Ovis aries: one gene and its partner. The protein of the gene in region 2 interacts with the protein of the main gene of each other region in a biochemical or structural test. Links are inferred from orthologs where the notes say so. Each region holds a gene or a part of one and is shown on either strand. Other genes may lie near its edges.

Region 1 (6,921 bases), on a different chromosome or scaffold from region 2:
ATGTTATTAATTTTAAAAAGAAAAAGTATATTTTATGTAAATATATATTTTACATAAAATATACTCCCTACAGTGTTATAGGTAGAAAAAAGTGTGAGGCACTTACATTACCAAGGAGGGAGGAGCATACTGAGATTATCTTTTTATACAAGCACCAAACCATTTGTTTTAACCTCTGAGATAAAAGCAGAAGCTAAGAGTAAAAGGAAATAGTTCATATTTGGTACACTAATAATCTACAAGTTCAAAACACAAAGTATTTTATTTCAATCTGATGGAAGTAATTCCACCAGAGAAAAAATTTTCATATTTAAAACTGTCAAAATATCTCCCTGAAAAGGTTCTGTATATTCTGTGGTATTATTTCAGAATACTGTAAACTGTAGATGGTATTTCACTCCTCTGTGACAGCATACTATTCTAATGATGGTAGTATAGGTGAATAACTCCTCTTATTACAAACCAGATTTTAATGTTTTTATAACAGTGAAAATAACACGTACATCAATGCCTCCATGTGAACTTGCTGACATCCAACAAGGACAGTCTTATTACTCTGTGATGCTTCACAAACTACTCAAAAACCAAGGTGAGGAGTGGGCTTGGAATTACAGGAATCCACCGGATGTCAAATCAGGGTAAGTTCTGGCTTCTGATGGGTGAAGATGGGTGGCAGGCTGAGTGTTACTCATGCTGTTTAATTCAGCTGGATACGTTTCATTTAAAATTGCTCCGTTCTGAAACTGCAAACAGCAACACAACTTATTAGAACAGATCCTTCATATATATTAAACCATCAGGTATGTGAAATGTAGTTCTAAAATCTTTATCCTCCAAGTTGTTCTTGTTAAACTTCAAACTCCTTTACTGCTATTTTAACTCATTCAGTGAAGTTGTATTGAACACATGTATTAGTTGCACTTAGAATCTTTCAGTTTCTCCATTAGATAGTATAGGTGAGTGATATCATTGTCTCACTTTAGATGTGGCGATCCATTGACTATCTGATCAATGAAATGCCTTTGGTTTGGGCAGGAGCCACTGGATCAGAAGGTACTAGCCACGAACCACAGGTACTATTCTCCGTCATAAGTCTGCTTTGACCAGATTGTATCTCAGTAAGTTTTAGGTACCAATAAACTAACTACATTCAAGATCACCACATTGGACTACAGATAACCCAGAACTTTCTGAAAAGCAGCAAGTTATGATTTGCGAGAGGTTTCTTAATATGCCTTATATACTATATACCATGGGTATGATTTCTATAACCAATTTTATTCATAATATGCTTTCAAAGTACTACTAAACTTATTGTCCTAATTATGGAAATAAAAATTACCAAAGTAAAATGCTTGCTCTTACCTTTTAACAATGAAATTTAGTCTCATTTCCATAAGTGCTACTGGAAAAAAAGGAGGGAGGGGAGGACCTTGAGACACACAGTTCTGTGGAATAATAATTAGTTGGTGATGGACAGGGAATCCTGGCGTGCTGCAGTCCATGGGGTTGCAAAGAGTTGGACATGAGTGAGCGATTGACCTGAATAATTCCATAGTTCTACAGGTTCTTATAGATTAAAGAACTTTTGAATCTTAGTATAATTAGTGAAAGTAATGGATTATAATCATACCTTTAATTGCTTCAAATGAAATTTACCTTTCTAAAGCCTATGTAACATTAGGTTTCAGTCCTTCTAAACGTTGTCAAGTTTTCAAAGGGAAGGTAATAATCGCCCACTAAAAGGTAGGTTTTGGATAAATTACTTTCATCACTCAATACAATGCACATCAGCAATTGTCTTTAAAGAGACTGTGTGCTAAGTCACTTCAGTCGTGTCCTATCCTTTGGGATCCTATGGACTGTAGCCCGCCAGGCTCCTCTGTCCATGGGATTTCCCAGGCAAGAATACCGGAGTGGGCTGCCATTTCCTCCTTCAGGGTATATTTCCAACCCAGGGATCGAACCTGTGTCTCTTATGTCTCCTGCATTGGCAGGTGGGTTCTTACCACTAGCGCCACCTGAAAAAAGACTTGTCTAGAGCAGTGCTAGTCAACAGAAATACAATGTGAGCCACAAATGGAGTTCCAATTTTTTTTAGATTTAATAACTTTTTTTTTTTAAAGGTGCTCAGTCATTTCCAAGTCTTTGCGACCCCATGGACTGTAACCCTCTAGGCTCCTCTGTTCATGGAACTCTCCAGGCCAGAATACTGGAGTAGCTAGCCATTCCCTTCTCCAGGAGATCTTCCCAACCCAGGGACTGAACCCAGGTCTGCTGCATTGCAGGCGGATTCTTTACTGTCTGAGCCACCAGGGAAGTCCAATAACTCCTTGGGGGAATATGTAGGTCCAGAATTCTTACTATTCATAAGGAAGTAACACAAAACAGTGGGAAAGAAAACACTGTAAGGAGCTGGTGCTAATGCAGGCCCTCTTCAGAATATAATTTTATATAATTCACTTCTCTACAGTTTACAAGTTACCTACCTGTGCTTATTCTGCAGCAATGTTGTGAGATAGATTGTAACTCATTGTTAAATTTTATTATAACTGAACAATGTCAGGAATGAGGATAAGAAATTTTTTCACAGTTTTTTCTAGGGAAAAACTCATATGTAATCAAACAAACCAAGTGTATAAAGAAGATCAGGAAAAAACAATGCGAAAGCTGCAAATGACATTTATAAACTATTATTACAGTCTTATTGGGATTTGCTTCATGACTAAAATACACAACATTAACTCAATATTTTCTAATGGAAAAGCATAAAGGCAAGCATAAGAGATTCCTGGGTGGTCACGAAGAGCAGCGATCATTAGGAAGTACTTTAAGTTACCATGTTGGTAGAAGGGTCTGAATGACACATTTAAAAACATCCAGCTTGAGTCTCGTGATAGAAAGCCAGAAAAGTTACCTTTCTTATTTTTCTTCAGATACCAGGGAAAAAACTATTTTACCTTGAAGGATAAAATGAAGATAGAACACAGAGGAGCCTAGGACTTTTAACAGAGATCACCTAGGACAAAAGTATTTGAAGGAAGCACATTGATACTGGTTTTAACCCAATTTCAACAGGAAAAGAGTCAACATTTAATAATAATGAGTATAATCTATAAAAATACTGAGTCACTGTGTTATATACCTGAAAATGTAAATCAACTATGTCAACAACAACAAAAAAAGAGCTTTGAAAAAGCTATTTTTAAAACCTTAAAGCTTTCTAAGTCAGCATGTTTAAAAGGTCAGATTTAAAAATAAAATCAACATTATTCTAAACAGTGTACTTTTAACTAATTTTACTTGGTAATTTTACTTTTAACTTATGGATGTATTCATACTGCTTTCGTCCTTGATTTCTTTTAAATGATATACTTGTATTAGTAATGTAAAGGTACCAGCTTACACAAAATAGTCACAAATAAAATTAGAAATGTTCTCCCATACATGCTACAGATAAAATGTTAAAATCAGTCACTGACAGAAAACTCATAATTTACATCTGTTTATAATTTATGAAGAGGCATTTGAAAGGACTTACTCAGTTTGAGAATACCCTTACCTTGTTTACAAATGCCTGTGAGCCCGGCGTGGTTGGGTTGTACGGCATCTGAGCCAGCTGGCTGTGCTGAGGGTCTGGCTGGCACTGGTACATTGAAACAGCCCCAGCGTAACATGTCTGAGGAGCTACCATGGCCGACTGTGGATTGAGTCCATGCTGTTGGTTTTCAGGAACTTGTAAACATGAGACAAAATCTTCTAAATTAGAAGCAGTAGTAGGGTACGGGGCTGGTTCAAAATTACCCATGGGAAAGTCTAACTGTGTACCCTGAGGTTGTGGTGGCAACCCAGGCTGACTACAGGGTATCAAGTTCTGGGGGTAAGGCATAGGATCAAGCTCAGGTTTGTAGGGAAACTCTTGACTAGTCCCGGGTAAGTCTGCAAAGACATTGTACTGCTGGAGGTCTTGCTGAGGACAATTCAAAGGCACAGATTGGTTAGAGTTCCAGTTTGCAAACATGTTGTTAACTTGCATATGCTTCATTTTCTGACACAGTTGTTGCTGCTGTTCCACTGCTGTGTGCATCTGATGGGGCTGCAGCTGCTGCTGGTCTAACTGGAGCTGCTCCTGGACCATACAGCTAGGGTTCAGAGCCACGGCTGGCTGCTGAGGGTACCCTGAACACCCGAAGGTAGGCTTATTTAAAGAGTCTTCAACGTAGGTCAGAATTTCATCTGTTAAGTCAATATCTCTGAAGTCATCTTCACCGGAAAAGTCAGTTCTGAAAAATTCCTCATTCTGTTGCATGTGTTGGATGTCTTCAAAATCAATGCCTAGGTGTTTCATAATGCTGTACAAGTCACTGTTTCTGTTATCTGTAAAGAGCCCGGCATGATCTCCAGGGAGAGTTGGGTTCATGTCCTGAGACTGGCTGATCTGCTCATGTTTCAGGATACTGTCACTCCCCATAGGCACAACACTGTTTCGCCAGTTACTGCACTCATTCAGAGAGTCACTGAAAAAATTCCTTTCAAAAGGTGCACTAGTTGAGGCAGGATAGAGGTAAATAGCCTCGTCTTGTTGCATCATGGCATTCAGGAGGGAACTGGGGTTGAGGGAATCCTTACTTAGAGTTGGTGTGTCTTTTCCACCAGCACCATTTTTAGTCTTTATTGGTAAGGGATCCATTATGGAAGGAAAGGGGCTGCTTATCTCATATAGAACGGCGTCTCCAGTGGTAAACATAAATGGCAACTTCATGTTGCGTTTGTTTAAGTGCTCCATTCCTTCTTCATCGCTACAATTGGGCACAAGAAAGTTTGCACGTATTAGAAAAAGCCGTATCCTAAACATTTCCAAAATAAGAAATTTTAAAAAAGAAAAACTAGCACACAAAATACATAGTAGTTAAATTTGCTAGAGGTGAACATAAATTTGAGAGAAATCTTTCTGATGACAAGTAATTAAAACTGTTTACAGAACTTTGGATAGACTTTGTCCAAAAATTTAATTTCACTCTCAGATTCCATCCCTACCTGAAAAAACAAATTCTGAATGGAACACAGATCCAAATATACCAGTGAGGCATGCTGAAATATAAAGCTCTAAAGGAAGATTGACATATGAAAATTAAAATGTTTTGCATGGGAAAACAATCGTAAGTTAGGTTAAGGCATGGAATAAATGTCATAGTTTCATATATACTATATAGTGTGTATATGTGTAAAATTTAATGCTGGTATTACGTAAAGAGCTCCAAATAGGTCTAACAACCTCTTTATAACTAATAGAACAAGCAAACAAAAATAGCAAATGTATAAAAACGTGAACAAAACAAACCAGACCACTGATACGTAAAGAATACTGTACATACAAGGGAACGTGTAGTCTTGATAAGAGTTTGTAGGAGATTTTATCAACACTGACCATACACTGGATTATAAAATAAGCCACAACAAATTTCAAAGGACTGAATTCCTTCAGTCTATTGTCTAACCTCAGTGGAATTAAAGTCAAGTAACAAACAGACAACTAGAAAATCCCCTAGTATTGAACAGTACATAACACTATGTTTCTAAATAATTCCTGAATAAACAAGTCAAATACTAGCACATATTTTCAACTGAATGATAAAGACAAAGGACTGTAGTTAAAATCATACTTAAAAGAAAAACTAATACCTTAACCAAATACATTAAAAAAGAAAAAGATGGAAAGAAATTCAAATTATACCCAAGAAGAGTAGAAGGAAGGAAATAATACTGAACAGACATAACTGGGTAACAAATGTATAACAGGAGAAAAATCAATAAAACAAAAGCTGACTCCTTGAGAAGGATGATAAAATTAACGGCCTTCGAGGAATAGTGACGAAGACAGGGCACAAATTCCTAATACCAGAAAATATGTCTTAAAATTATATGAGTACAGAACTTATAGAACAGAAAGAAAATAAGAGCATAAAGGAGAAAAATCATGATGTTGATGAATGCGAAGTAAGTATTTGGTGTAAAAATTCAACAACCACTCATGACGATGATATTCTTCTGGTAAACTGAAGAAAGGGATGCTTTTAAACCTGAAACAATAAACCCAGTATTTACAAAAATAACAGAAGACTACTTACAAATATCATATGAAATGATCAAGTATTTGAAGTCTTTCTCCCTTAAAGTTGGGATTAAGACCAAAATGAATTATCATTATTTCCATTGCATTCTACAATGGAAGAACTTAAAAAAAAGAACAAAACGAAGTCTAAAGGTTAAAAGAAAAAAATTATTTGCAAACAACATAGGACATATAAGAAAACCTTAGAAAAATGTCTACAGATACCTTATTAGAATTAATAAGTGAGATGAAGGTCACTAGATATAAAACACCAATATTAAAAACTCAACTATTTCTATATATTTTTATATATATATATATATATATATATATATATGCACACCATTTAAAACAACATCATAGAACATATCTAGGAATAAAATTAAAATATGTATAAGACTCAGGTAAGCAATGGCACCCCACTCCAGCACTCTTGCCTGGAAAATCCCATGGATGGAGGAGCCTGGTGGGCCGCAGTCCATGGGGTCGCTAAGAGTCGGACACAACTCAGCGACTTCACTTTCACTTTTCACTTTCATGCACTGAAGAAGGAAATGGCAACCCACTCCAGTGTTCTTGCCTGGAGAATCCCAGGGACGGGGGAGCCTCATGGGCTGCCGTCTATGGGGTCGCACAGAGTTGGACACGACTGAAGCGATTCAGCAGCAGCAGCAAGAACAATACAGCCCATTATTAAGATAAAAACATGGGTACATACACATGGACCACCACATTCATGGGTTGCAAGATTCAATATAGAGATGTTAATTTTTCCAAAAGGAACTATAATTTCAATATAGTCCCATTAA
Region 2 (7,388 bases):
ACTTAAGGAAATGCATCTTGAACAATTCGCCAAATCAAACTCATGATCCTGAAAGTGCCTCCAAGCACCACCCCACCCTATTCTGTTCAGAGCATCTCTCTAACTTTTCCAGAGTAATCAAAAGTTGCTTTTCATAAAAATATTTCTCTAGTTGGACGTCGGATACAAAGGGCTTTGTTAGAACAGCAAAATGCTTTTCTCCCCAGTCTGCACCCACGGAACACTAAACCACTATGAAACCAAACCAAAACAGAACCCACCCTCATTGTGCGTCAGCCACGTGAAGGGGCATCTGGAAAGAACACAAGTGTCAAGAACCTTCATGCCAACACAGCCAAGAAGCAAAGCTACAAATGAAGGCAAAATTAATGGGAGAAAACACCCACAGATGTAGAAGCTACTCATTTTAAAGAAGGTGACGAGAGCAGGAAAGCAGTAAGGAGAGAAGGAGGAGGGGTGAAGACCAACTGGAATGCTTCCACCTACACTTTAAAACCTGACTGTATCTGGGAATCTAAAGTTTGAAAAGCAAAACTCAGCCTATCACAATTTAAAGAGAACAACTTTTTTCTTGATAAAAATGAGCTGCTTCGAACCTATGTGGGGCAGAGTTATTTTTTAAACCTGATTCACAAAGCTATCATTGCTCTTTCAGAACACTTAAAAATGACCTTTTAAGTTTCTTAACAATTGTCAAGTTTTAAAACCTAATCCCTTTAACATCATATATCCTAAGCCACTCTAATTTAAACCTACTTTGGTGCCGTCTTCCAGTTTCGGTTTGCAATGGAATCTGTACAATTAACAATAACCTTCCTCCTCCTCATCTTTTTAGGGAGCCGAGAATGACATATCTCCTTATCTCCCTATTTGCGCCATTAGACTGACATATTTTGCCTCATCTGTCACCTTCCATAAAACTCTGCTTTCGGATATGAGTTAATTCATTTTTAGTTGTCCTCGATGTTCTAAAATAGTGATGTTTGACAGAATTAATACAGTGCTCTAGTTTTCTCTGTTCAACTGGTATTTAATTAAAGATCTTGGAGGCCATCTTTCTCTCGGGTTACACTGTTTAAAGAAGGAATGTTACTTCCTCCCTGGACAATGTACTAAACCACATGGCAACAGAGCTATCTTCTTAAGGTCTCCCATCCTCCCATTTAACAGATTATTTCACTATGTAAAAACTACCAGCAGGACAGATTGCCACTTGATTTCATAGTGATGCTACTTTTCACATCTCTGAACTGCAACTTTACTATAGCCTACCTTCTCTCTTACCTTTAAAGTTCCCAGAATTTCTGGAGTTCTGATGCTCCCTTATATTTTTATTTGATCATTGCTTTTGTTTCACTTGGACCTCAAGGAAGTCCTAATGGTATTAAATTGTAAGAGGTCTTGAATCTCTGGTAACAATGCAGAGAGTCTTTAAGCAATTAGAACTACCTAAAGCACAGACACAAAATTTCTTAAAGTCTTTTGAATTAATATCTTTTGGTGAATAGCCCACTTAACCCGGTATGTCATCATTTTCTATTGTAAAGGTAGCATGCGTAATTTAAACTGGCACCTGCTATTTACCACGCAAATAATCATTCTCTTGGATGGCCTTTTGAAAGTTAGCATTTCTTAATAATTCTTTGGCTGTATCAGAACCACAAGAGGCATGTCCACTGAAGCAAACTTCAGGAGCAATAAACTAACAAACAGACTCTAGGTGGTGGTATAGGTTATTTTTTATCATGATGTTTTGCTCTTAAAAAAACTGCAAGAGTCAGAGGAGCCTTCAGCCTCTTTTACTCATGTCTTTTTACTGCAAACTTATACAGTTTTAGGGTGGACAATTAGTAAAAGTTTGGAGACCCACACAGGAAGTGGTCCAAGCATTAAACCTGGTTTTCAACTACCTCAAAGGCACTGTAGAGAGCGCACTGGAGTAAAACCAACAATGAGGAGTCCTTTTTGTTTGTTTTTTTGTAAGTATTTTACTCATGCTCCTAGGGCAGTTTCAAGGCGTAAGTGTGGAAAGAGGTCTTTCCCCACCAGAGTGTAGGAAACAGACTAAAGTAATAATCCTGCAGCCCGCAGGATAATGGCTGTTCCACTGCTGGAATCTTCTTTGTCTTTAGGAACTAATTTCAAGCAGAGAAAAGTTAGCACTAGTGATGAAGCCACTACTCTCTGAAACCAGTTAAACCCAAACCACATTACCAAAACGCTGGGCAAAACCAGAGCAACTTACTTCAAAGCTGAAAACATTTCAACATACTCCAGGCAGCAACCCACACTTTGGTGCCAGGCAGAGGAAGCACCATTTGTTTAAAAAGTCCACTTATCTCACTGTGTCTTCAACAACAAAGGTGGCAAACTAGTGATTAAGCATTGAAGAATCACATCGGGAAGATGCCACCCACTTGCTAAAGTCATGATTCTCTAATAAGCAGGTTCAATGCAATTCATAACTTTAAAGAATGAATTACCAGAGCCCTCTGCTTCACAAATCACTCCCTCACCAAACGTAAAAAACAACCATCATCTGTAACTCCACAACCATTTTTCACTTTCATCCTATGGACTCTGTTCCTCTAAGAACAGTACCCCCTCCCCAACCCCTCCCCCGCCCCGCACAATTTCACATTTAATCATTTATATTACCGGAGACAAACTCCAACTCAGTTCCACCAACTGAGTGAAAAGTCCCTGTGGCTAAGAACGTATTACTTCTTTTTCAACATAAAAACGCCTTATTGAAATTTTTTTTTTAAACACAAAAGTACTTCTGTTGTCCGTCTACTATCTTCAAAACTCAATTCAATAACGAGATAGAAGGTAAAAACTCCTATAATACTTCAGAGATCAACATGTGTCACAGACTCGCAGACTGTTCGCCTCTAAGACATAGTTGATTCCTTTGTTCCTCCAGACGGAACAGCAACTCTTGATTAAAATTTGGAAAACTACTTTGGAAGGGTTGTGACGGTTTGCAGAATATTTCCCGGGAAACCCTTCATAAGACAATATCCGCTAGTAGTAGAAGAGGACACATAGATGTAGGAGAGAAAAACGAAGCCTCCCAGGACCTGCACGGGGTTCACTCTAGAGGTGAGCCCGGTTTTCTGGCTCCGGAGAAAAGTGATGGTTGAGGCCTCGGGTCCCAGGGGCCTCGCCCTCGGGAGGGGAAGGACACGTACCAACGGGCCTGGCTGGACCCGAGGGTCGGCTAGGGGCCGGGAGCGCGGTCCCCTTGCCTACCCACTTTCCCCAGTCCGGGATCCGGCCAGCTCAGAGCAGGGAGGCACCCGGGCGAGAGGCGGGGGGAGCTGCGCCCGGCGCCGCCCAGGACGCCCGGGGCAGCAGGACTGAGAACGGCGCGACGAGAAGCGCCCGGGGCTCCGGGCCGAGGAGGACAGCCGAGCGGGGGCGCGACCCCGGCCCGGGTCCGGGGCAACACGGCGGCCGCCCTCCCGTCCCCGGCCCAGGACGGCCAAGAACGCGCCGGTGAGCCCCCGGGCCAACTCCACAACTTGCCGGCCCCGCTGCCCGGGCCCCCCGAGTTCCCGGGCAGGTTCGGAGCCGGCAGGAGAGGCGGGATTTGCCCGGAAGCCGTCCCCCTCCGCCGAGCTCACCCCGCCGTCCGCGTCCGCTCCCGCCGCCCCGCAGCGCGGGCCCCCCGCCGCCCCGACGCCCCCCGAGGCCCTGCCCGCCAACGCCAAGCCAACGCCGCCGCGGGCCGCGCTCCCGGCCATTTCCGGCGGCGGCGGCCGCTCGTCCGAGCCCCCCGGCCGCGGCCGCCACTCACCCGAGGCCGCCGCAGCTCCGAGCGCCGGGGCTCCGGCCAGCTCACTCCGCGAAGGCGCCCCGCCGCCCCGTCCTCCCTCGGCGCCCCGGCGAGCTCTTCCCTGCGATCGGCAGCGCTGCCGGGCGCAGCGGCCGCCGCGAGGCCACGGGCGGGCGCGCGGGCGAGCGCGGGGCCGGGTCGTCCCTCCGCCTCGGCCGCCGCCGCCGCGCCGCCTCCTCCTCCGCCGCCGCCGCCGCCTCCCGAGTTCGGGGCTCTGCTGCAATGTCTGCGAGGCTGACTTTGAGCGCCTCGCTCGCCGCCTGCCTGCCCGCCCGCCCGCCCGCAGCCGCGCTCCTCCCTCCGCCGCCGAGGCGGCCGCGGCCCAGTCCCTCCCCTCGCCGCTCCACGCCATTCAGCTCTTCAGCCAAGTTTCTTAACCCTTTTTTCCCCCTCTCTTCCATTGTCACCGGGGCGGCAGGCACGCGCTCGGGTCCCGGAGGCTCGCGGGAACTGCGGGGCCCCCTCGGTTGGCTGGTTTTCCTCCTCGCCCGCCCTCCGGCCGGCCGGGCGGGGGCTGCGGGCGCCCCGAGGCAGCTGGAAGAGCGCGGCGGCCGGGAGAGGTGGGTGCTCCAGGCGCCCCGAGCCCTTCCCCGCGGCTCCCAGCTCTGTCCAGCAGCCCCCACCGCCGCCGAAGGCGCCGGGACAGCTCCTCCTGGGGCTCCCGGGGGGGTGGGGACCACTCTCGTGACCCAGGCCAAAAGCCCGCGAAGGGGGCTCAGCCTGGGGGTCGGGACGCCCCGGGTCCCTTCCTGGGTGCCGGCATCTTAGGCTTCCTTCTCCTCCCACTTCACCCCACGACCCGTGTCTCCTGGGCTCCCTCTCGCCCACCCCCCCCAACTTCCACCACCTTGTAATCTGTGTGTCTTGCTTTAGTCTGGCCGGGGGTGGGGGGGGCTAACTGCGGGTCCCTCTGATCCCGCGCCCTGCACGTAGAAGGCACCCAGGGATAATCGGCGGGTGAGTCCGAGAAGAAAACTGGGAAGGAGACCTGAGGAGCGCCGGGTTCAGCTCCTCGGACGGGAGCAGGGTTTATCTTCTGCTGCTTTGTCACTGCGAAGTCTCCAGCGGAGCCGTTCCTCGAATCGACACCGTCCTCGGACCGAACCTGACCCTCCAAGACAAGGCAGAAGGCACCCAGCTGCCACTTCTCGGGCAGCTCTCCGCCGGTTCAGGCTCCGAGTAAGAAATAACAATTACATCACGAGGCCGGGGCGGCAGCCCCGGAGAGCCTCCTGGTTTCCTGCAGCCTGATCTCCCTGAACCCGCCTCTAAATTGGGGGGGATACGGATTGGTGAAGAGAGAAAGTGGAGGGAGGAGAGAGTCATCCGAAACCATCATTTCCCCCTTCTCCGTGTATTTGCTGTTTTAAAATCTTATCCTCAAGGCTCTCCCCAAACATCAAGCTAGAACTATTAACACCCCCGCAACACCTCCCCAGATGTCAGGTTTCTTTTTGACTCTAGCATCTAGCATTTAGTAACTCGCCATGAAAAAGAAAAAGAAAAAAAAAAAAATTGCCAGGGGAAATGAGGACCGTTGCAGAAATTGTTTTTGCTTGCTGCAAAAACGCTGAAGTACAGCTTAGGCTCACTGTAAACTCCGAAATGGCATGCCTGTGTTTAAACACTTATTACACAAAACAAGTGAGTGGATAAGACACTCCATTCCTATGTGTAGGTTTTCAGATCCTTAAGGATTCGACAGCATTTTAAAATAAAGTTGCTAGTGCACTTAAAAAAAAAACACAAAACTATCCAAGTCATAGAACAGTATTCTATGCCTGTTATGTAATGGTTGTGTTGTGCGTGTAAAATGTCATTTAACCTTTAAAAATATGAATGAGGATTCGGGAACACCTTCACAGTCTTAAAAGGGAAAGCGATATTTCAGAAGAATGCTTAATAATACAGCACCTAGCACAGTGCTGGGCACATGGCAGGAAGATTTTTCTTCATGGTGATAGTGCATTTTAGAACAATTATTTTACATCACCCTAGTGATTTCAACTGTGCGATCTGTTGCCATCTTATATATTTAAACCTCATATGAGAGCTTATTATTTGTATCTACCACCATTTGAAATCTGTTCAAGGCAGCTTAGTAAAGTCCACTGTTCTGCATGACAACATTTATCCAGGATTGATTCAGAGCCAACTGTTTGAATTAAGTGATAGGCAGCATTATTGGAGTGTGACCCTTTAAGGAATCAAACTAATTTTCTTTAAAACTGTTGTACAAAGATTTTCTGAAAACGTATTATAAATGTTTCTATTTTCTTAAGCCATTTTTTGGCTTTTTCTTGAAAATTCAGAGTTAATTTTGATAGTAGGTTATAATGAATTTAAGGACTACATCAATTTCCTGTTCTCTATCAAGCTCCTTCCTAGGAGTCAGGGATGCTCCCAGGATGAATAGAAGCCATCAGTCCTCTCCCTGAAGGACTCCAGGATACTATGATCCAGTGATCATCTCTGTCTTTCATAGTTGCTCTCTCTCCCCCTTCCCTAACTAACAATCTTTTCTCTCTTTTGCCAGGGTTCCTGTCTCTAACATTATCCTCCTCTTCTGATTGGCAACTGCTAGTCTGGTGCAGACTGAGATTCCAGATAGCCTCATTTGTCACCATTCAGTCTAAAGTAAAACAAAATAGTGCCATGTAAGGAACTGATGTGCTCACCAAGGAGAAAGGCAGGTGAACTTTAGTGCATCGACCTTGTGGCAGATATGTGGACTACTCAAATGATGCTTTAAAATCATTCTTTTTTCTTCTTAACTGGGTTTTAGATCATTGTGGTTGGTAGATAAACGACCTCCTAGTAAATAAGATTACACAGTTAATGCAACAAGCCAAATACAGGTCCTGCCCTTTTTAACACTCCTGTTAAAAAGTCTACTGCAAAATGTTAGATAACTTAACAGAGCTCCTCACTTAATTCTTCATCTATCTTCTCAAACCCACAGAAATCCAATCATTGAAAGCCTTAACTCTTTTTGATAGTACATTAATGTTAAGTAAATTGCACACCTTTGTGGAATTCATTTTTAATCATTCTAATTGTTTTAGGGCTATTTTGTTGTTGTACTTTGTTTTTTAAAAAAATCAATACCTAAATTTCCTGGCTAAGAGAGTCATTGTAAGGATACTGGGGCATATATGTAATAGAAGAATGCCTATTCTGGAATTTGTATTTTGAAGTCAACTCATTTTAACCAATTGTGATGTGAAAAAGATGCTCTTGAGCTTTTATACTTACACACACAACTATTTTTTAAATTCAGGGTTCCTGTGGGATCAGATACATATAGTTCAGGCTCAGAGCTTTTATCTGCCACAAAGAAGTTGTCTGGGAGAGGCATGCTTATGATGCGCTCCCTGAACCTGTCTGTGATAGCACTTTTCACTCCAGTTGGTGACTGGGTTACTTATCTGTATCCCATTCTAGATGCAGTCACTACAGGCATAGGGTCCATGTCTTTTTGGTTCATGTTTGGATATGTCCCACCTATCCCTGTGTTCTGCAAATGGTAGGCATCCAGTAGATATTG

The links. The genes of interacting proteins can lie anywhere in the genome.
Region 1: the proteins of NRIP1 (region 2) and AHR form a complex in vitro, tested with the Homo sapiens proteins (2 studies listed by BioGRID). The link is inferred for Ovis aries from reciprocal best matches to the Homo sapiens genes NRIP1 and AHR.

The regions. Positions count from the first base shown.
Region 1 is NC_056057.1:26,823,205-26,830,125, reverse strand, and holds part of AHR (aryl hydrocarbon receptor), read right to left. Parts: intron 4,800-6,921; coding exon 3,563-4,799; intron 1,406-3,562; coding exon of another isoform or gene 1,403-1,405; exon of another isoform or gene 744-1,402; coding exon 609-743; 3' UTR 1-608. UniProt on the Homo sapiens protein: Ligand-activated transcription factor that enables cells to adapt to changing conditions by sensing compounds from the environment, diet, microbiome and cellular metabolism, and which plays important roles in development, immunity and cancer.
Region 2 is NC_056054.1:142,919,800-142,927,187, reverse strand, and holds the start of NRIP1 (nuclear receptor-interacting protein 1), read right to left. Parts: upstream 5,030-7,388; 5' UTR 4,689-5,029; exon of another isoform or gene 4,347-4,688; intron 4,070-4,346; exon of another isoform or gene 3,803-4,069; intron 1-3,802. UniProt on the Homo sapiens protein: Modulates transcriptional activation by steroid receptors such as NR3C1, NR3C2 and ESR1. Also modulates transcriptional repression by nuclear hormone receptors.